Linked DNA regions of Mus musculus: regions 1 and 2 are each reported to be linked to region 3. Evidence: microRNA targets listed by miRTarBase, many of them from high-throughput screens and not tested one by one. Region 3 holds a microRNA gene; each other region holds the end of a gene's coding sequence.
The links. The annotated mature microRNA mmu-miR-672-3p reads ACACACAGUCACUAUCUUCGA and lies in region 3 at 3,232-3,252, shown strand. An mRNA with a match to its seed (bases 2 to 7 or 8) in the 3' UTR can be bound and repressed. Matches are read on the target gene's strand: a 7mer-m8 pairs with bases 2 to 8, a 7mer-A1 pairs with bases 2 to 7 and ends in A, and an 8mer does both.

Region 1: miRTarBase lists Cavin3 as a target of mmu-miR-672-3p. The part of its 3' UTR that is shown has no 7-base or 8-base seed match.
Region 2: the mRNA of Enah is a reported target of mmu-miR-672-3p. Seed matches in the 3' UTR shown: 7mer-A1 at 4,919-4,925, 7mer-m8 at 3,921-3,927, 7mer-m8 at 3,309-3,315, 7mer-m8 at 2,985-2,991, 7mer-m8 at 2,959-2,965, 7mer-m8 at 2,951-2,957 and 3 more.

What each region holds. Positions count from the first base shown.
Region 1 is chr7:105,474,505-105,481,618 of GRCm38, reverse strand. It overlaps Cavin3 (caveolae associated 3), which reads left to right. Exons shown (of 2, transcript NM_028444.1): 2 at 400-1,003. The coding sequence ends at 798. Among named protein-coding and RNA genes, the nearest start is that of Cavin3, 4.1 kb to the left of the region's middle.
Region 2 is chr1:181,899,420-181,906,533 of GRCm38, forward strand. Enah (ENAH actin regulator) reads right to left here. Exons shown (of 15, transcript NM_010135.3): 14 at 6,968-7,025; 15 at 1-6,478. The coding sequence ends at 6,441. Among named protein-coding and RNA genes, the nearest start is that of Gm33669, 25 kb to the left of the region's middle.
Region 3 is chrX:104,112,323-104,119,443 of GRCm38, reverse strand. Mir672 (microRNA 672) reads left to right here and starts at 3,170; the gene lies at 3,170-3,269. The region is part of intron 1 of Nexmif (neurite extension and migration factor); the gene reads left to right.

The DNA.
Region 1 (7,114 bases), not on the chromosome of region 3:
TCACAACAGCGACCTTATCCCTTTCTCACTCCCAGCCTGGCCAACCCACGCCCTCCCTAACTCAGGCCAGTCTGCGGATTTGGTCAGTCGCACCCACATGGAACTAACTGTTAGGTGTTACTCTGCCTCCTCCAAGCGCCTATACAGCTGTTACACTCTACACGGTTTCATCCACTTTGCAAACTTGCAAGGTCCACTTTCCCCCTCTTTGCTCATCTCTCTGCTCCTCCATCCTCCCCATCCCCCATCTTCCCATTCCTCTATTTTGGCCCCAATTCCTAGTGCAGATGCAAAGGGTGGAGTAGCTTCCCTTGGCGGGCGGGCAAGAGAGTTTCAGGCTGGTCCTGGCTAAGTGCCAGGGTCAAATCAGAGAATCAAAAGCTGTGTCATCACATTTAGGAGGAGACTGAAATTCCAGCCCGCGCCTTCCAGAAAGTCCCAGAGCTCTTGGGTCCGGAGGACCAGTTGGTGCTGGGCCCAGATCAGCCAGAGGATGAAGTTGGAGAGAGTTCTGAAGAGGAGCCAGTGGAGTCCAGGGCTCAGCGGCTGCGCCGCACTGGTTTACAGAAAGTTCAAAGCCTGAAAAGGGCTCTTTCCAGTCGTAAAGCAGCACAGCCCACACCAGTCAAGCCGCCACGCGTAGGGCCTGTCCGGAGCTCTGAAGGCCCATCAGAAGGCCAGCCTGCAGCTCAGCCTGAAATGGAGTCCGAGCTCGAGACTGCCCTGGAGCCAGAACCTCCTCAACCTACCAAGGAAGATCCTGAGAAACCCGTGCTTCAAATAGAGAGCGCAGCCTGATCCCTGGGGCTGCCTGTCCCATTCGGTGCTTAAGCCTTGTCCCAAAATAAGTACTTATAGAGTGCAGCACTTACATCCAAATAAGGAGAGAATCCTGCATCCACTGCCCAGCTCCAAAGCTTCCTTCCTGGCTTTCCAGTCTGAACCCTGTGTCCTCTGACAGAGGAGCTTTCAGCCTAATTTAGGTTCACCACCAATAAAAGCAATTTTCTCTAACCCAGACTCAATGAGAAAGGGCGAGCGACAATGCGCATGGCTTGGGGAAGGAATGGGCTGAATGACAAACGTTCTCACTTTTCACCGAATCCTGGGTCCTCCATTGGCACGGAGAAATATTGGCCACTTACTGCTTAAATACATTCCTCTTGGGGACACATAAGTACAACTTTGGGGCCCGGCCTGGGGCGGGGCAGTATGCAGTTCTTTGAAGAAAACGCCCTAGTTAATGTCAGCTAATGCACTCTTCCTACTTCTGGTGTCTGACACTCACAGACAGCTCACACCATTGGGTTGGGGTGCATTTAGAAAGCAATCCAAAAACAGCCCTTGGTCTACTTTCCTTCTGCCAACAAAACAAAACAAAGCACACAAAGCACTCATTGTTTTCAAAACCAAATGAGTAATCTGATAGGTTGAGAGAATCCAGGCCTCCTAGAATCGAGCATCTCTCACAATGAGTGTGACGAACTGACTGTGTCTTCATGTCAATGCATAAAATAAAAAAAAAATAGGACCTCCATGTTTTTTAGATCTTGTTAGGGTTTGAATCTGAAAGGTTCCCTGAAGGCTCATTGTTGGGAGCTTGCTAGCTTTCTGTGTGTGTGTATGTGTGTGTGTGTGTGTTAGAATGGCTTGTGATCTAATCAATGGAGTATGCCCTTGATTTATCCATAGTATGTCAGTCTTATTGGGAGACAGAGAAAAGAAGGAGGTTAGACTTAGTTGGAGAAAGCAGACAGATGGATGCTATGCCTGCTGCCACAATCTGCCTCATTTCAGGCCAAAAGCCGGCACCCATTTTAAAAATTTAAAAACCAATCTTCTCAGTAGTTAGTATAGCATGCAGAATTAATTTCCCACTTGATGCATAATAGAGAAACTGCAGTGTTAATTCCCCGTTGAGGGGACATGTCATGTCAGTCTCATGGACTTTCAAATATTCTGGAATGTTTGATGTTCACCACCATTTATGTGGGCACTCCCATATCCAGCACAAGCGCAGTCATCATAAATACCAGTGGGCACGGTGTGTGTGTGTGTGTGTGTGTGTGTGTGTGTGTGATGGATTAGCTACTACCTTCTTAGGAAAGGGGTCTGCGTGTAAGCCCAGCTGCTTGAAGTCGGCCAAGCTTCTCACTCCTTGGCCAGGTAGGGCAGAAGCACAGCTGGTTGCTCATGATGTCTTACTACGGGTGTACAGATAGCAGCTGGCCCACACATCTGGTGGAGCTGCTATGGGTGCTGTGACTAGATCTGAGGAATGGCTGAGACACCAGTGGGTACTTCTGGGCCAGATGGCACACACAGAAGACGTGCATGTGATTGGGAGACAACCTGCTCTCTTATGTCACTTAAGGGACAGAAGTTGCCCAGTGACTCTGGAAGTTTGTTTTTTATCATATTAAACAAACAAACAGAAGCATTGTATCTCTGCATATGTGTGGAGGTTATAGGACAACTTTTCCTGGTTGCTCTCTTTTCCCGCTGTGGGAACTGAACTCGGATCACCAGGTTTATGCACACACACATTCCTACCCCTGGGGCCATCCTTGGCCCTTTATTTTCTAATTTAAAACATTCTTTTTAGGTTTATTTTCTGTGTTCTGCCTGCATGTATGTATGTGCACCACATGTATGCCTAATGCCCACAGAAGCCAGAAGAGAGCACTGGGACTTCTGGAACTGAGTGACAGATAGTTGTGAGCTAGGAACTGAACCCAGGTCCTCTGCAAGAGCAATGGATGTCCTTAACTGCTGAACCATCTCTCCAGCTCCTATATTCTTTTATAGCTTTTGAATAAGCTCCATTCAAAACCAACAGTCATCTATTGAGTGCCTACTATGTGGCAGGCCCTGCTGAGTATGATTCAGAATTAAAGTTAAGCTTTCTGGTTGGATAAACGATTCTGTCGCTCCCTCACACAAGGAAGCAATGATCATGGACTTGACTCCCCGTTCACATTCTTATCTGTAGCCCTTTTAGGCAGTCTTTCACGGGACCAGGGTTAGACTGCCTGCCATATCCTGCCAGTCTCCCGATTCACCCCCTTATTGTCTCTTATCACCTTCACAATAGAGCTAAAGCTTCCCACTGTCCCTGAAGACCTCTTGTGAGTTGGTTCCTTCTGTCTCTTGCTGGGTGTCCTCACGCAAGACGGTCTCTGGTTAAAAACTCCGAGCACTGAAATGATGTCACAAGTGGGAGATCACACCTCACCTCATGTGACAGGTCACTATGGGAATGCTGTTGCACCAAATGTTTTATACAGAAATTCCCTTCAAGCTATGCTTATGAACTGCATGAAAACACAAGCATGTGGGCTCAGGGTCCAGCCCCAAGAGCTCTCATTGTACTGAAACTATGTTGTCGTGTTGAGCTACGTGATCTAAATCTCATCTCCTAGAAAACTCAGCAAGGCACACCTGTTTCAGGGTCCAGAGCACTACTTGCTCAGTCCTCAATGCTCTATGACCTGGTCGTGGTTGTGGTTGCTACCTCACCCCACTCTGCCAGACTGACAACTGCACTGGAGGAAGTTCCACTCATTGTTTTTGTGCTGCTGGTGCTCCTTCTGACCACATGGTGTCACTATTGGGGTACCAGTGTCCTAGCTGCTGCTTCATCCAACATTCCACAACTCTGTCAGCTTGGTTTGACTTTCCAGAAAGGGAACAGTTGATTCACTTGACTTTGTTGGTCTGGGGCACAGGGGGAAATTGGAGGCTCCTCCTGCAGGCTCCCAAACCTTAGCATTCACACCACACCACACCACACCACACCACACCACACCACACCACACCACACCAGGTTGCTGCCTTTACTTTCAGAAATCTGCCACTCACAGGGACAGGAAAAATAAAGCCTCGACTTTTCAAATCCCTAGGAATCCACCTGACTTCTCTCTTTTAACTCAAAACAAAAGGAAGGCCTTAGAAGAATATTTTGTACCCAAAAGGTCTAGGTTCTTAATTTCCAGAAATTTCTAGAAACCCAAAGACTTGGCGAACTTCCAAGAAGGTAGAATGTTAGTTTTCATTTTTTCCTAATTGGTCTACAGTAGCAAATAATTGAATCAAATGAAAACAAAATTAGCTCTGTTTCTTAATAGGCCACTTGGTTACATTATGTTCTCAATTGTCACAGTTACAGTAATTGCTAATGAGGTTATAGATGCAAAGGCAGAGAGGCACAGGCCGAGCACCAGCTGCCCCACAGTGCAGCACAGACAGACACAGCTGCTGTAAGCAGGTGGACACACACCGATGGACCACTAAATTTCAGAGGTTGGCTCTCAGATCTTTAGGCCAGAAATGGAGATGTATTTGCTGATGCAGCATGATTCAGCTGAAATAGCGAAGTTCAAGAAAGATTGGTGAACTCTACTGCTAGATTCATTAATGTCCTTAAGCAATCTAACTGCCGAGTAAGCCAGAGAGAACATTTTTCATCTTGCCACAGAGCCTACGAGAGACGTCAGACAGATCATAGAGCATATAAAGATAATAAGTAAGGTGACCGAGCCTGTTTTCTGATGGGATATTTCTTCTACAGCAATAAAGAATACATGCGCTCATGGTGAGGAATTTCTCCCCTGAGTAAATACAGGAAATCCTTTGGGCTTTTCTTTCTTGTAAGTAGAGGACTCATAACCCCAGTCCTGAAGACCCCTCAAGGTCATTGTGTCCACTAGAGTGTCTTGCTCAGTCTTGTCTATTTTTATCTGGTCTGTGTTTGAGAAAGCCCGGAGTCCAGGAGCTCACTATCTTCCTCCCATCAACTCTCTTTTTAGACAACGTAACTGACAGCAGTGGTTAGTTTTCTGTCAACCTGACCCAGGTAGAATCTTCTGGAAAGAGAGAACCTTAATTGAGATTGACCTCCAGGCAGGTCAGTGGGGTCACTTTCTTGATTAATGATTGATGTGGGAGGACCTATCTTAGCGTGGGCAATGTCACCTCTGGGTAATTAGTCCTGGGTTGTTTAATATGGTGACCTGCAAGCTATAATTGAAGGTACTCTAGCCAGCTTGGGCCTGGCAAACATGGCTCTGGCAGACCTTGACCTTCTTTTGCATCACCTCTGCCTTGCTAAAAGCTGTTAGATTACATCCCTAAAGCTAGTCACCAAGGTATATGCCTTTATTTGGTCACTTCCTCCTCCTGAGACTGCCGAGCAAAGCCCAGCTGTCAAAGTATTGGAGTCCAGCAATCAAAAGCCCCTCTTTGGCTCACCTAATTGACATGCCCAATCAAGATACACCACTGAATCCTAGCCCATTCGAACGCAGACCTCCCCTTTTTCTCTTCTTAAAAACTACACCTGCAAGGTCGTTTGTTGCTGTTTTTCTGCCTGGGGTAGAAAGCAGCGACATTAACTTTTCTTCCTCGATTAATAGAGGGTTTCTCTGTGAAAACAGGTGTTTGGGTGTGGTTTCTACTTAATCAGTGTGTGTGTGTGTGTGTGTGTGTGTGTGTGTGTGTGTGTGTGTGGTGTGTGTGGTGTGTGTGGTGTGTGTGTGTGTGTGTGTGTGTGTGTGTGTGTGGTGTGTGTGTGTGTGTGTGTGGTGTGTGTGTGTGGTGTGTGTGTGTGTGTGTGTGTGTGTGGTGTGTGTGTGTGTGTGTGTGTGTGTGTGTGTGTGTGCGCGCGCGCGCATGCGTGCGCTTGTGTTTCTTTAACAGTATAGTAAACCCTTTCCTCCTTAGGTGGCTTTTGGTCACAGTGTTTATCACAGCAATAGTAAGCACACTAGGGCAGTGACTGAAGCATTTCCTATCTCCTGAGGTCAGAATCTCTTACTATGATTCCCGTCCGTGGCAGTTGCTTCTCCTCCTGGGATATGTTGGAGGAGGCCTACTATATATAGCAGGGTACACCGGGCTGAGTCATCTAGGACTTCCCCAATCTCTCCTCAGCCCAGTCATTATTTGTCCTTGTTTTGTGTTCTTTTAAGCCTTGGCTTTTTCCTGTGGATTGTTTTAACAAACATGTTTTAAACTGGTAGGTGTCCAGCTGCCATCGGAGCATAGCTTTCATATTCAAAGACATCTGGGCTTCATGGCTGGCAATTGCCAATTTTCTTTACCAGGTCTGTTATGAGAATTAAAAAAAAAGACTGTTTAACTTGGGGTGAGGATAGCACGCTGGTGGATCATTTGCTCAGCATGAGGTGCTAGATTCAATTCCTAGTACTGGGAAAAAAAATACTGTTCTTTTGATATTTGTGGCTTCTTGGGAGGTTAAGGCAAGAAAATTACTGAGTTAAAGGGCATGAGAGCCTACAAGACCCTGTCTGGAAAAGCCCCCTTCCTGAAAAGGATGAGGCCTTTATGGAGTTCACATGAACCTTGCCTTTGTAACAGAAGTTGCTGTACTTGAGAGTCGGGGCTTCCCTATGTAGTCCAGCCTGTCCCTGAGTTCTCAGTTCTCCTGCATAGACTCCTGAGTGGCACCATGCCCACCTTGTAATACAGTTTGGAGTTAAGTGCTCTGTTCCATCAGGGGTGGCCATTACAGGGAAAGCCTCTTAAGGCCTTCAGCAGTCTTCATGCCAACCTGACTTCCTTTTCTAGTTGCTGACTCTTGTTGAATTACTCCTTTGCCTGGGGCTAGAAGAGTCCTAAATGAGTCTATTTTGACTCATGGGCACAGCCACGTCCAGAACTCCAAGGCCAAGTTGACAAAGCTGTTACCCATATGGGCCAGGCTCAAGAGGAGTGGCAAAGCTTTCCTGGGGAATCGGAGTAGGGTGTTTATGGACAATTGATCACGAGTGTTTATGGACATTGATCAGTGTGTGCAACTGCAGCTTCCTGCTCCAGGATGTTTACAGCCTGAGGCTGCTCACCTAAGGAGACTTTCTCCCCAAACTAGCCAAGCCTCCCGTGGTGTACCTAATGAACACTCTGAGGGTTCCAGACTGGGGAGGTATCAGTTAGAGCATCCCACTTGATCCCAGCTTCACTATACATGTGTCTGTTTGTCTGTCTTGTCTTCATTCTTCTGTCTGTGTGTCTGTTCCTTTTTCATTCAACGCCCCAGTCAGGGATCTGGGTCCTAAGCCATGTGGATCTTGACATTTCTTTTTATTTACATGAA
Region 2 (7,114 bases), not on the chromosome of region 3:
GCGCAAAGCTGGTACCACACACTACGCAACAAGGTTGGTCCCCAAAGGGCTAAGCCAACTTAGTTCTACTCCTGATACACAAGAGAGGCCTGGTGGCTTTGGCATCATGTAGGGCTTGTGGTTTAAAGACAACCGCCCCACCCCCAAACAGACAGACCTCAGAACTGAGGATCAAAATACTCAGAGAAATTCCAGAAGTTAGAATATCAAATGCCAAAACTCACCTAGGTGAAACTTGGCCATGGAATGACAATCTTCTATGTCTCTACTAAAAGAAGTTTAAAATCTTAAAAACAACAAAACAAAAACAAACCAAAACTTTATAGGAAGGCTGGGTAGACAGAATTGACTAGAGAATATTGAATTTCAAACATTTTTTTTTCCTTAGGTATCAAACTTGAAAAAGGTTCCTGTGTTACTTACTTCATGATTAAAGCTGCATTTTGATTTTTTCAATACTAGGGACCTCATACACACTGTGTATTCCCACCACAACAGGGATGAATCCCAGAGCCAGACTCGATGCACACTTCTTTCCCTGGGGTTTTATTTCCTTTGCGACACCCAGCGCCGGCTAACACCCTATCTATCGGCAACATCACTCACTGCCTGTATTAGACATGTAATTTTCTTTTGAAGGAGTCTGTTTCTACTGCTAAGGACATCTTTCTGGACTCAGAAGGGGGCAGCTGAGACATATTTACGGGCTAAATGGAGACTGTCACTTACAAATAGCTCTTCAATGAAGTGCATGGACATTTCTAACTTTTATTAGAATGTGAAATTCTTTTAACTCTGTTTAATTTTTGTTTAGAAAAGGCTGGATTTAGTGATGAGTTCACCATGCTCTTGAGTTTCCTAACTCAAGAGAGTCAAGTACTCCTCCCTCTCCGCTCTTATCTGGGCCTCCTTTATCCAGGAATCCTGGGGTTCCACACCAAAAACTTCTAAAAGCTCTTTATTGGAATACCCAGTAAGCTTCAAACTAGGTAGGGTGTGGTGACTGATCTCTGGTTCAAGCACTTAACCAAAGCTTCAGTTTTCAGTTATTCTCTATGTTAATGAGCAAGCACTGGAAACCTACAGGTGCTCAGGGAGTTCTACAACAGAGCATCTATAACCGAAGGGAAACGCCCTTTCCCAAACCCTCTCCTCCTCACACAATCCCTATCTTTACAATTTCAACAAATAGAACCAATGATTGTAGAAAATTCTTTTTAACATCAAGTCACAGTAACCAAGTCACTTTCTACCCTTCAGTGACGGTTGCTTTACAAATTAACATAGTTCATACTTCAACAATTTTCAAATTTATCCTAAAGCCCCATCTTCCTTATGTGAGGTATTCATTAATATTGTACCGATAGAAGGCCCCTGTCTGTAAATGGTAATTTTACTGTACCATTTTACTTTCTTTTCTAATCAACTAATCAATCTTAATGTTTAAATTTTGAATCTTTCATTGTTCCAGCATTAAGATATAAAGAAAAAAAAAAGGGGGGGGGCAGGGCTAGAAAGCTAGCTGAATTGGAAGAGTGTCTGCCTCCCTTGCAAGCACAAGGTCATCAGTTAAGATTCCAGAATCCATGTAAAACAGAGCAGCTGGGCGTGGTGGTACAAGCTAGGCAACCCAGCAGCAAGCAGCAGACAGGATCTCCTGAGGCTCACTGCCAGCAGGTCTAGCTGAATTTGTGACCCTGTCTCAAAGCAGGTGGGTGCCAAGGTTGAACACTGGTTTCTACATGCTCATTCTCACATTCACCCACAAAGAGGCTTTAGAAAGAAGCTTGGTACTTCAAAAAGCCACCAAGGTAAACATAAGGGAACAAGATTTAGTGCAGAGCCTATTTTGATGTTGGGAATAGAAAGACTATATCATATCCCCGCCCTCAACCCCAAGAATATTTGGCATAAATAAATGGCTTCTCTTGAGAGATTGACGATTTTAGTTTCTCAAACAGGCGTATGCTTAACTGAAAGCGATTCCTGTACGTACATGTTCTCCAGGATCTTCACATGAAGTACTGACCAGAATAACTGTTTAGTCAGATTCTTTAAAATACAACAAGTTTTGATTAAAAAAAAAAAAAAAAAGGAACTGAACTTATAAAACAGTAAATGCCTCTCACCAAAGAGTCACAGAGCTCTGGGGAGATGATCAGATACCAATTGTATTAAAAACAAAAATGCCGTCACCAGAACAGGTTGAGTCTGGAAGTGAAAACTATTCTGCCTTTGGAAGTGGGCTTTCTAGTGTGATAAAGGGACAGACACCCCCCTACACTCTGCTTTTTATGTTCATCTTGAGTTCCTTTATGCTCCGCGTTTTTATGCTTACGACCCATAGGATTTTACTGATTTGTTTTAGACACGGTTTCTCTATGCATCCCAGCCTGACATCAGATCCACAATCCTCCTGTTTCTGTCTCCAGGATGCTGGATTACAGATACGCCCATAGGATTAAAGACCGTGGTAAAGGGCTTAAGTAATTCTCATGGCGACAAGAAATCAAACAGTTCCTGCAGCCCTGCCTGGCAAGCCCTGAATCGTACAAACATGAATTCTTCACAGCCTCACTGCAAAGATGGGCAAAAGTTAAGAGACAGTAATTTTAGCTAAGCAAATGGAAAAGCTTAGGACTTGCTACTTAATTCATTTTCGAATTTAAGTGACTTTAATTTGTAGATAAAGCAGGAGTGTAAGTTGGAACCAAAAGAAAAATCAGCTGGCTGTCTTCACAACAGTGAGCAACACAAGGTGGTTGCAAATGCAAATTAATGCCAGGAACAGGAAGCACAAAGAGGACGGAGGAGCTTGGGAGAGATGCCGAGGTCTGATAAAGGGGGAAAGACACACACACACACACACACACACACACACACACACACACACACACACACACACACACACACAGAGACACACAGACACAGACACACACACACACACACACACACAGACACACAGACACACACACACACACACACACACAGACAGAGTTGTACTTCTAATGAGGAAATTACAAGTTTGGAAAATGGAACTTTGTAATAGATAAAGGTGCTGAGACATATATATAAGTATATATAAAAAGCCAACATAAAGAGATCACTGTAGAGGGTACAGACTGCTACATTTAAAGTTAATTACTTGGCAATATCCTTTAATATGCAAATTACATAAAGAAAAAAAATGAACCGTGTAAATGAAGTGAAATATATATATGACTGTGTTATAGGACAAAAGAATGGAGTAAAACACTTTTCACCACATTGACTACAAGCTGTGCTGGGAGCATGTAAGACAGAAGAGGCACACAGCGCTTACTGCAAAACAAAAGGTAGAAAGATCATTACATATTCCCTTCGTGTTTTCCACTACGCCAGACGTGGATGAAATCTTTAAAGAACAGTGACATGATGTTTAAACTGTAAACAGTGAAACCCTGGGCTTCCTAAGGTGCTGATTTCACACCCAGTATCACTTGGTTTGGAATTAACACATCATTGCAGAAGACCATCTAAGTGTCACAAACAAGAAACATGCACATACTGCAATTTTATTTCAATCGCACAAATGAAGTTAGTGTGTAGGAGAGTTAACTGGAACAGCTATGGTGGTAACAGCAGAGAACTGAAAACCTAGACAGGAAACACGCCTGCGGCATGAGGACCGGACATTCATCAGCGGTTCATCTTCAGTTCTGATTGACACGTTTTGAACAGACTTTGAGATCACGGTTACTATTCTCAAGAGATTTCAGCACCACGCTAAGGTTTGTACATTCAGATTGTTTGCTATGGACGTGCTAGCCATTCAGAGTGTATTGTAGAGTTGTCGCAGGTCAGATCACAGTGTTGAGGAGAGCAGAGCCTTCCTGTCATCACAGACGATCCCTAAACTGGACTCAGCTGAAGACAGTCAACACACAGAAGCAAGGACCCACCGTCACAATATGGTTCCAAGGAACAGTTTTGGGAAAACAACTCAAGCTTTAGCTTGCGATTGTAGTCACTGAAATCTCTAGCGACGACACGACTGTCCTGGGTGACAGTGAAGCATCCAGGTAGGAGCACATTTAGTCATGTGGGAGGACGTACTATCATGGAGGATACAGATACAGCATGAGCCAATGTCGGTTCTTTTTTTTTCTTTTTTTGTCATTTTTACAGACATTGTGTTAAATATTAGACCAAGGCACAAAACGTTTAGTGCATAAACCAGCTTTGTTTAGGACTTAGCATTTGACTTCAGCATTTTTGTCTCACTTTGGACCATCTAGACCCAGTACTCTACGTACTACAGACTATTTAACATTAGCAACAAAATGAAAAGCGATTTTTGATCAGATCTGTAAGGGATGTACACACGTACACAATCAAAGTAGTTGCGTAATCAAACGTTCAACAGTAAATGAGATGCATACTTCTTTTAGAACAGCGTACATGCTTGCCGCATCCTTAATGCCTTTACTATTCCTGCGAGACGACGACTGATGGGTAGAGAAAGCCACAGAATTGACTTATGACCGCTCATCCCTCACACTTTAATCTAAAGATGAAGTTTCTACAGAAACAAACACTCTTAACAAAACCCCTCATTCACACGGCTCTGCAGTGGGGTTAGCTGCAAACTGCAGGGTTTAGAAAACTACTCTCATCAAGCTTTGCTTTACAGCTGAGACATAGGAAATCTAGAAAGCAAATCAAAGTGGATTGTATCTACTATTTTTTTAGCAAAAGTTTTGATAGCCAAAGATTCCAAAGCAAATATGGCACATTAATAACTCAAGCATAAATCATGATGGACAGCCTGGAGAATTTTTGATTTCCTAGATTTTCCAAAAAGCTAACATTACAACATATAAAATTTTCTCCCTTATTTTAATCTTGCCAATTATAAAGGGGTGGAACATAATATCTATCACACACTCTTAAGCTCGATCACTTTCTCTCTCTCTCTCACCTGTGTGCGTGTGTGTGTGTGTGCGCGCGCGCGCGCGCACACACACACACACACACACACACACACTCAGGGTGTAACAGCAGACACTCCCTACCACTTAAGCCTCACTTTAGTTCTATTAAAAGAAAGCTGCAGAACTCCTCATTGGTCTCCCTTACCTAGTGACTTATGTGACCCTGGTTGCTGCCATTATTGATATTTCTTGTATTTTAGCACAGCAAAGGTCAAGGAGCAGCCGCAGAGTCAGGAGCGTGAACCCAAGCACTGCAGCACTGTGGGGGCCGCGTGAAAATAACTGCCAAATTCAGTGATCAAACTCGTGAGTTCCACAGTGAGACGGACTCACATGTTACGCTCAGAATCATGTTTCAGACCGTTGAAATTGCTGGTTAAAATACAAATAGCTGAAGACATGATGTAAAAGATTAAGTACTTGGTTTTGTTAACATGTTTACTGATTAAAGTCACAAAATATTTTTCATTATAATTCATGCAGATAATTGAGAAAAAAAAGATAGTGCAGAAATTAACTTTAAATAAAAAGTTATTCCTTCCCTTCCTCCCACTTCCCTATATTCTACAAAATATTTTCCCTGGGACTAGGCCCTGAAAAGGCCACTACATATTAGTGTGACATGCATTATTGTCTGTAATTAAAAAAGCTAACTTTGTGGTGATTGTAATTACATTATAAAAATGTCCACATGCATATGTCTAAAAAAGGTTGAAAACCTACAGTAAATCTATAATAGAATGTTTTCCATTTGACCACTGTTGGTTATGTAGAAGTCATAGATTTGGTAAAGCATTGTAACAATTTAGGAAGGCATCTAAATCTTTAATTTCTGGACGGACTTTATGTTTTAAACTACAAAATTGCATGAAGGCTAACCCGAGAGACTTCCTATCATTCTAAAATTCCTCAAGTGGGACTAAACATTTTGGGACCTTTCGTATTAAACACCACCCTCTGAAAGCACATACAACTCCGTTTGTTCCATCCTTTATGATCTTAGTGTTCACGGAATATCAAATATGATAGGAAGACAAACCTGAGAGAAACATTTACAACGCAACAGCAGAACTTACTAAATCAAATTCTTCATCAGCGCCCTCTGGAAAAAAATCTCTGAAGCCTTTCTCGTCTTTATTTTAGCAATGGATTATGGAAAACGTGCAGACTCATCTAGACATGAAAATATTTCAATGCACGGTGATCTTGCCTGACGGGTTTAGTACTGCTAAGGGAACTCCAATATCATTCTCCATCCTGTGGTAAAGGTCAGACAGAATAAAGCAGCACACTGAGGGGACAGCTGATCGCCAGAGTCACTGTCTGAGGCTTTCAGAGGTTGACGGCTTCCCTCCTGACTGTGTATCCATTTTCTTCTTACAGCTTAAAAGTTTGGGGGTTAAGAGTTGTTTGTAGGAATTTTTGTTTTCTCCAGATTCAAGTCCTGCCCCTCCGTAGTTTGCTTCTTTATGCAGTGTTCGACTTGCTCAGCTCCTGCCTGATTGCTACAACAGGGAAGAAACGGTTTCCAGAGTCAATCCACCAGAGGAGATACAGAGGAACGGGTCGCTCCTGAACAACTTTCAAGGTTCTGTTCTAACTGTTTCATACAAAGATACAGGATCTACATCTTCACTGCACAGATGTTTAATTTATAAAGATACTAATCACACACGACTATGTCCACTTACTCCCTCCCTTGTAGATTTAAGACAGGAACACTGGTTCTGTGGGCTCAAAAACAAGGGCAGTTCAATGGAAATGGACGAGTGGAGAGAAAAATCTGCCTGATTGGTATTATTACACCAAATTCTACACTTGACACTTAGAAATCTGTTTATTTTCATTTTTACAAATAACTCCAATGATAAAAATACAGCAGCTTTCCAACAACCTGAGCAAAGGCTAGCAACCCTCCCCCCCCCCCCCCCCCCCCCGAGTGTGAAGTCAGTCTCACAGCTGTCTACAGGGACGTGCATGCGCCAGGTACTCACCGTCAATAAGCTCCTCCTTCAGCTTTGCCAGCTCTTTTCTCATCTCATCTAAAATGTCCTGAGGTATCAAGAGAAAACACCAGGGAACAAAGCAAAACCAACAAAAATGAAGGGATGTCTAAGAGGTTTCTTGTTCAGGTAAGTTAG
Region 3 (7,121 bases):
ATGACACAAAGAAATCTTAAATACATATTACTGAATAAAATAATTTAGTCTGAAAAGTCTTTATACTGTATAATTCCAACTAATACAATATGCTTGAAAACTAAAACTGTGGTGACAATAAAAATTTTCATAATTGCAGGATTTGGGGGGAAGGAATAAATACTGCACAGGGAAATTTTAGGACAGCGAAGTCATACGAAAGTGGGTCCATGGCATATGTCAAAGCTGTTAGATTGAGTGAACATTAAACTGTAGAACTTAGGGGTATGTGTACTTCAGAGGATGGCCTTACGAATTGAACTTAGAGTAGGTTTTTTTTTAGCATTATATGAAATTGGGAGGGGATGGGCTGGTGGATCTGGAAGGCTTTAGGGGAACAAGTGGGAATGAATATGATCAAAATACATTGTGTAGATATATGAAATTCTTAAAGAATTACAAATGGTTTATTTATTTATTTATTTATTTACACTCCAGATTTTATTCCCCCTCCCAGAATATGATCAAAATACATTGTGTAGATATATGAAATTCTTAAAGAATTACAAATGGTTTTATTTATTTACTTACTTACACTCCAGATTTTATTCCCCCTCCTGGTCCACCCTCTGACTTCTCCACATCCCATACCTCCTCCCCACCACACCCCGTCTCCACGTGGATGTCCCCACCCACTACCCCACCAGACCTCTAAACTCCCTAGGACCTCCAGTCTCTTGAGGGTTAGGTGCATCATCTCTGACTAGACCCAGACCTCTGCTTTATATGTGTTGGGGGCCTCATATCAGCTGGTGTATGCTGCCTGGTTGTTGGCTAAGTGTCTGAGAGATCTCAGGGGTCCAGGTTAATTGAGACTGCTGGTCCTCCTACAAGGTTGCCACAAAAATCCCTGACATAGTAGTGCATGCCTTTAATCCCAGCACTTGAGAGGCAGACATGGGCAGATCTCTATGAGTCCCAGGACAGTCAGGGCTACATAGGGAAATTCTGTCTTAAAAAATGAATAACTAAATAAGTAAAAGGAGGAATTTAGAGATCTAGAGAGATGGCTCAGAGATTAAGAAGAGAAAACTTGCTGTTGTTGCAAAGAGCTGAAGTTGGGTTCCCAGCACTCACATGAGGCAACTCACGACATGTAACACGTTTCTTCACTATCCCTTAGTTTATTATCTTTTTTGTTTCTTTTTATGTTTCCTTTTTTTCATTTATGTACACTGTATGCATGTATATCTGCATGCAGCTTACATGTGTGAGTGGGGGTACAGGTCCACATGTGTACACATGTATGTGGAGGTCCAAGCTCAATTTGATATTCAATGTTCTTTCACCACAACTCAAGTCAAGGTCTCTGAATCAAATCCAAAGCTAAAAGATATGGCTACCCTCACTAGCCAGCTTGCTCTAGGGATTATGACCACACCCACTAAGTATTTCCATGAATTCTAAGAATCTGAAATCTGGTCCCAGCGTAGCCATCTCTCCACCCCACCTTTGAAATTATTATTGTTGTTATTTGGCAAGTTCATATATAAACATAATGTATTTTGGTAATTTTTACCTCATTTTGTACTGTTTTTTTTTTCTATTTTATTTTCCTTTTTCTGACCAGTTTTCCTTTTTTTCCTTCTATCTCCCTTTTCTTTATACTTCTCTTCCAGGCATCTTTCCCTCTGATTTCTCCTTTTACATAGGCCTGTTATTGTTGCAAACGGACATTGAAACTAAATATTTTAAGTTATTATAATTATGGATTTATTAATAAAATAAACAATTACATTTTGTTTTTAAGTAGCATGACCAAGCTACTTGGAGAGGAAAGGAATTTTTGGCTTATAGCTTGTAGTCAATCATTTAAAAAAGTCAGGGCAGAAACTAAAGCAGAGGCCATGGAGGGGTGTAACTTACTGGCTTGTTCAGCCTGATTTCTTATACAACCCAGAACCACTTGCCTAGGGATAGCACCAACAACCATGTCCTGGGCCCTCTTATATCAGTCATTAGTCAAGAAAATGCCCCCACAGACTTGCCTAAAGGCCATATTAAAGGAGGCATTTTCTTGATCGAGGTTCCCAGCATATCATATAATTGAAGCTTCTGTGCTGGAAGAAGATGTATTCGAAGAAAGTAAACAAAAATATATTGTGAAAGAAATTATAGTAACTTGTCCTAAATGTTCGCCTTGCTCTTTATTACAGTTATATAAATGTATACAGGGCTGGAGAGATGGTTCAGAGGTTAAGAGCACTGACTGCTTTTCCAGAGGTCCTGAGTTCAGTTCCCAGCAACCACATGGTGGCTCACAGCCATCTATAGTGAGATCCGATGCCTTCTTCTGGTGCGTCTAAATAAATAAATAAATAAATAAATAAATAATCTTTTAAAAAAGATGTGTACAAGACTGCCTTAATAAGCAACCTTTGGCCGGGCGGTGGTGGCGCACGCCTTTAATCCCAGCACTTGGGAGGCAGAGGCAGGCGGATTTCTGAGTTTGAGGCCAGCCTGGTCTACAAAGTGAGCTCCAGGACAGCCAGGGCTACACAGAGAAACCCTGTCTCGAAAAACCAAAAAAAAAAAACCAAAAAAAAAAAAAAAAAACAACCTTTGAAGAAAAACCCTTTGGTTTCAAGTTCATGAACTCTAGATGAATTGCAGAGTGTCTGTGGTTGTTTGTCACACTTAGAGAACTGCTAAAAGTTCTGACTGAGGGAAACTGTTGGGTTTAAGCGTTACTAAGTTTAATGTGTTAGTAATAACCTTATGTTTCTTAGAATTCTGGCTTTCCTCCTCCCCTCCCTTTCCTCTCCTCCCCTTCCTTCCCCTCCCCTCCCCTTCCTTTCCCATCCCTTCCCTTCCAAAATATTATCTCATCACGCAGCCTAGGGCTAGCCTCTAACTCATTGTGTAACCCACTCTATCTTCAACTCACTTCCTCCATTCTGAGTGTTGGAATTACAATAGCACTCCACCATGCCCCTCTGTAGAAGAGCCTCTTTCATTTTCTTGCAGGCTGATAAGATTTGGACATCTCTGCTGAATTTTAGATTTATTTCCTTCTCTAATCTAATCTATAGGCAGCTAGAGTAGACTAGAAAACGTTTGGTGCTTTAAATGTTGTTCAAGGATGACATTTGAAATGTAAATAAAGAAAATATACAATAAAAATATTTAAGATGGTGATCTAGCCCTTTAGTTTTGAGGTTGGTGTACTGTGTGTGAGTATACATATTTATCACACACAGTCACTATCTTCGAAAGTGAGGGTGCACATCTTTCTCAGCCATCTCTTATTAAGCCATTAAAGTAATGCCAACATCTGAAGCTAGCACATTCTGGTTCTAGAAGGTCGAGTTTTTCCTTGGAATAAACTGAGTTTAGCCTGAGCAGAGAAAGACCTTCATTTTTAAAGTTAGTAGTAGTAATAGTAATAGTAGTGTGTGTGTGTGTGTGTGTGTGTGTGTGTGTGTGTGTGTGTGTGTACAGCGGCCAAAGGAGGGCATCAAATGACTTGTGTTATCACTCTCTGCCTTGTTCCTGTTTTAAGGTCTCTCACAGAACCATAGAGTCAGGACGAGAGTCAGAAAACCTGACTGACTGATTCTCCTGTGCCTACCTCACTAGGGTTTCTGGCTTCCTCCCAGCCATGCCTGGCTTTTATTGTATACATGCTGAGAGCCCAAGCTCAGGTTCTCACTCTTATGCAGCACAGAAGAAAATAAGGAAGTTAGGTGACACATCAGCCAAGGTACATTGAGGTTACCTGATGCTTAATGACTCTTTACACAAAACAGAGGAATGCCTACATAAAGACCAGCAGGAACTAGGCAATGTAACAACTGAGACAAAGTCAGCTCTATCTAAGGTCAGCTATAGTCTTAGAAGCCAGGTGTGAGGTCGTTACACTCCTGGGGCAAGGGCTTTCACGCCCAAGCCATAGTTCTAATTCTGATTTATTGTTTAGCCCACCACCACCCAGCTCTTAGTAAATACCTAACTATGCTATTCCCCAGGGCTAGTGAAAGTATGTGCTAGGGAGTTCCGCTCTAGCTAACCTTCTCATGAATAATGCAACACACTAGTTCCTCCTTAAATCACAGCCCGATCTTCTTCCTAAACAATTGTAAATTCCTGTATGTGGGAGTTACTCGCCTGTTATTCTAAGTGATTTTGTGAGGGACTTTCTTCTATTAAGTAATGTAGTCTGACATATATAACTATAATAAGAATTCTAAACTTACTTTGCTAAGCTTGCCCTGAAATTTCTAACTATATGTAGTAGATAGTAACGCCCGATTTCTTTTGCTATCTCTCTTTCAATACTGGAGGCAATTCGTCTGAATAGATAACATTCTTACTAAATTCCAAGCCCAGGGTCAGCTCAAGGACTGCCTAGGACGTTGGTGAAGACCAGGAAGCAAAGTTCAACCTAATTTAGGTATTTGTCAAATCATTCCTTGGAGGCACCTATAATAAAACAATACTGAAAGAAAGCACACAGAACCATTCGCCAACTATTGCAAGGACGAATCTGAAACACATCTGTTTATGGGACACCAGAAACTTTCCAGGAGACAAGTTTCCATAAAACTTTATGCCTCATGACTGTAGCCAAGCTTTTGGGCCTGTCAGGCAGTTTTTACTGGAGTGGGTGTGGCACACTGTAGCTGTCTTCAGACTCACCAGAAGAGGGCATAAGTTCTCATTACAGATATTTGTGAGCCACCATGTGTTTGCTGGGATTTAAACTCAGGACCTTCGGAAGAGCAGTCAGTGCTCTTACCAGCTGAGTATCTCTCCAGCTCCCCATTTTCCTTTCTTAAACCACGCTTATATATTGGCTTTCACTTTGCCCTCATTTCCTAGTGTACTGGCTGGTATTGGGTGTCAACTTGACACAGCTGGAGTTATCACAGAGAAAGGAGCTTCAGTTGAGGAAATGCCTCCACAAAATCCAGCTGTAAGGCATTTTCTCAGTGATCAAGGGGGAAAGGCCCCTTGTGGGTGGGACCATCTCTGGGCTGGTAGTCTTGGTTCTGTAAGAGAGCAGGCTGAGCAAGCCAGGGGAAGCAAGCCAGTAAAGAACATCCCTCCATTGCCTCTGCATCAACTCCTGCGTCCTGACCTGCTTGAGTTCCAGTCCTGACTTCCTTGGTGATGAACAGCAGAATGGAAGTGTAAGCTGAATAAACCCTTTCCTCCCCAACTTGCTTCTTGGTCATGATGTTTGTGCAGGAATAGAAATCCCGATTAAGACACCTAGAGAACACAAAACAGATAGGAGATTTAAAACCATAGAAGTTTCATTCTGCTTCTTAACAAATCATTTCTATAGGATTCCTGGTGGCTGGAAGGCAAATTGAACATTCTACTTTGATCTTGTATTAGTAAAGCAGATGGTTTTGTTAAACAACTCCCTAGGGAAGATTTGGGTCTCTGTTCCAGCTTCTGACATAGCCAAAAAGAATCCCAGAGTGGATAGAGCTGAATTGGCCTTTCAGACATTTTTGTTCAATCCCTTATGGTACATATTGAAAATTCAAGCCTAGAATTGGATATTGTTCAAGGTCACAGTCACATAGTGAATTTCTGGCTTCAAGAGAGATTATTCTTCCCTCCTATGCAAAGGGGGAATCTAACAGATACTGTTTAAGCTATGAACTCTTGTGAGTGTGAATGTTTCATGTATGCCATTATAGTTTAATTTTTAATAATTGGAATAATTCTATATTTATAAAAAATTGCAATGTACAAAAAATCATGATCATTGTCTCTTTTCTCTTATATTGCTGTGGTATAATTTCAAAATAAAACCCCAGATTTTATCAGTTTTCTATGCTAGCATCTAGAAAATCAGGATCAGAGATAACTGAAAATCTTTGATCTTCCTATTTCCTTAGTTTTCTCATCTGTGCCAGTTTTTTAGGTTTACCTGTAAGATGTTTTGTACAATGTCCCTCAATTTGTTGTGAGTTTTGAAAAAAATACTACAGAGATGAAGTGTCATTACTATCAAGGTATATATAAAGTGGTACACAGTATCAGTAGTTAACTTTGATAATATGGTTTGCCATGTTCACACAATAGAAAGTTGAAGTTTTTTTCTTTTCTGTTCTCTATGCTTCAGAAATTCACTCACACCTAAGTTCAACCTCCTTGAAATAAAGAATACTTGTATATATTTACATGTGTAGAAATATAATTCATGTTTTTCTAAGACAATGTCTTACTGTATAGTTGTGACTGTCCTGGAACTCACTACTGTTTGAAACTCACTTTGTAGACCAGGCTGACCTCAAACTCACAGAGATCCACCTGCCTCTGCCTCTTAAGTGCTGGGATTAATAGTGTGCACCGCTTTTGTCTAAAGCAATTTATAAAAAATAAATATAGAATTTGGAGTTCTTTTTAAAGAATATCAACTTTTGTTGACTGCTATTTGATTCCTGTGCATGAAGGTAGAAGTGTTTTGGATGTTAGCTTATCTGTTCTGTTGCTCACAATGTTCTTACTTTGACCGTAAGTGATTCTTTCAGATTAGCTTCTGTAGCCTCTTGACATGCAGCTTGAATTTTATCTTCTTAGATTGATAATTTTCTGGTACTTCAAAATACTCCAAACTCACACCAGCAGTTTCTTTAAGGAATATTAATTGATTGGGGGGGACAATGTATTTGAAAACCAAGATCTGAGCCAATCTTACCAACTATCATTGTTTCTGTACTTTCTCAATGGACAACTTAAGTAATATATAGCTGAACTATTCTATATATACATATGCATCTATAATTGTCTATCAATCTATTTTATGTATATTAAGCTAAATATGACCTCATATCAATACCATGAATGAATCCAGTACTAGTCTTCTATTCCTGTTTACCTATAAATTTCTTCTCTAACAGTGAGAAAACTGTGTTCTAACACCTACTATACATTTGTTTATTTCTTCAATACCAACACATATAAAACAGTTTCAGAATTGACCTATTGTCCCTATGAGAACCAAATGGACAAGAATAATGTTTATGTTCAGTTATTTATCCTTACAATTTTGTGTCAAAACATAATTTTCTCAAGTAAAATCTGCTTTATATCCCTCAGTGCAGTTACATCATTTATGTTTT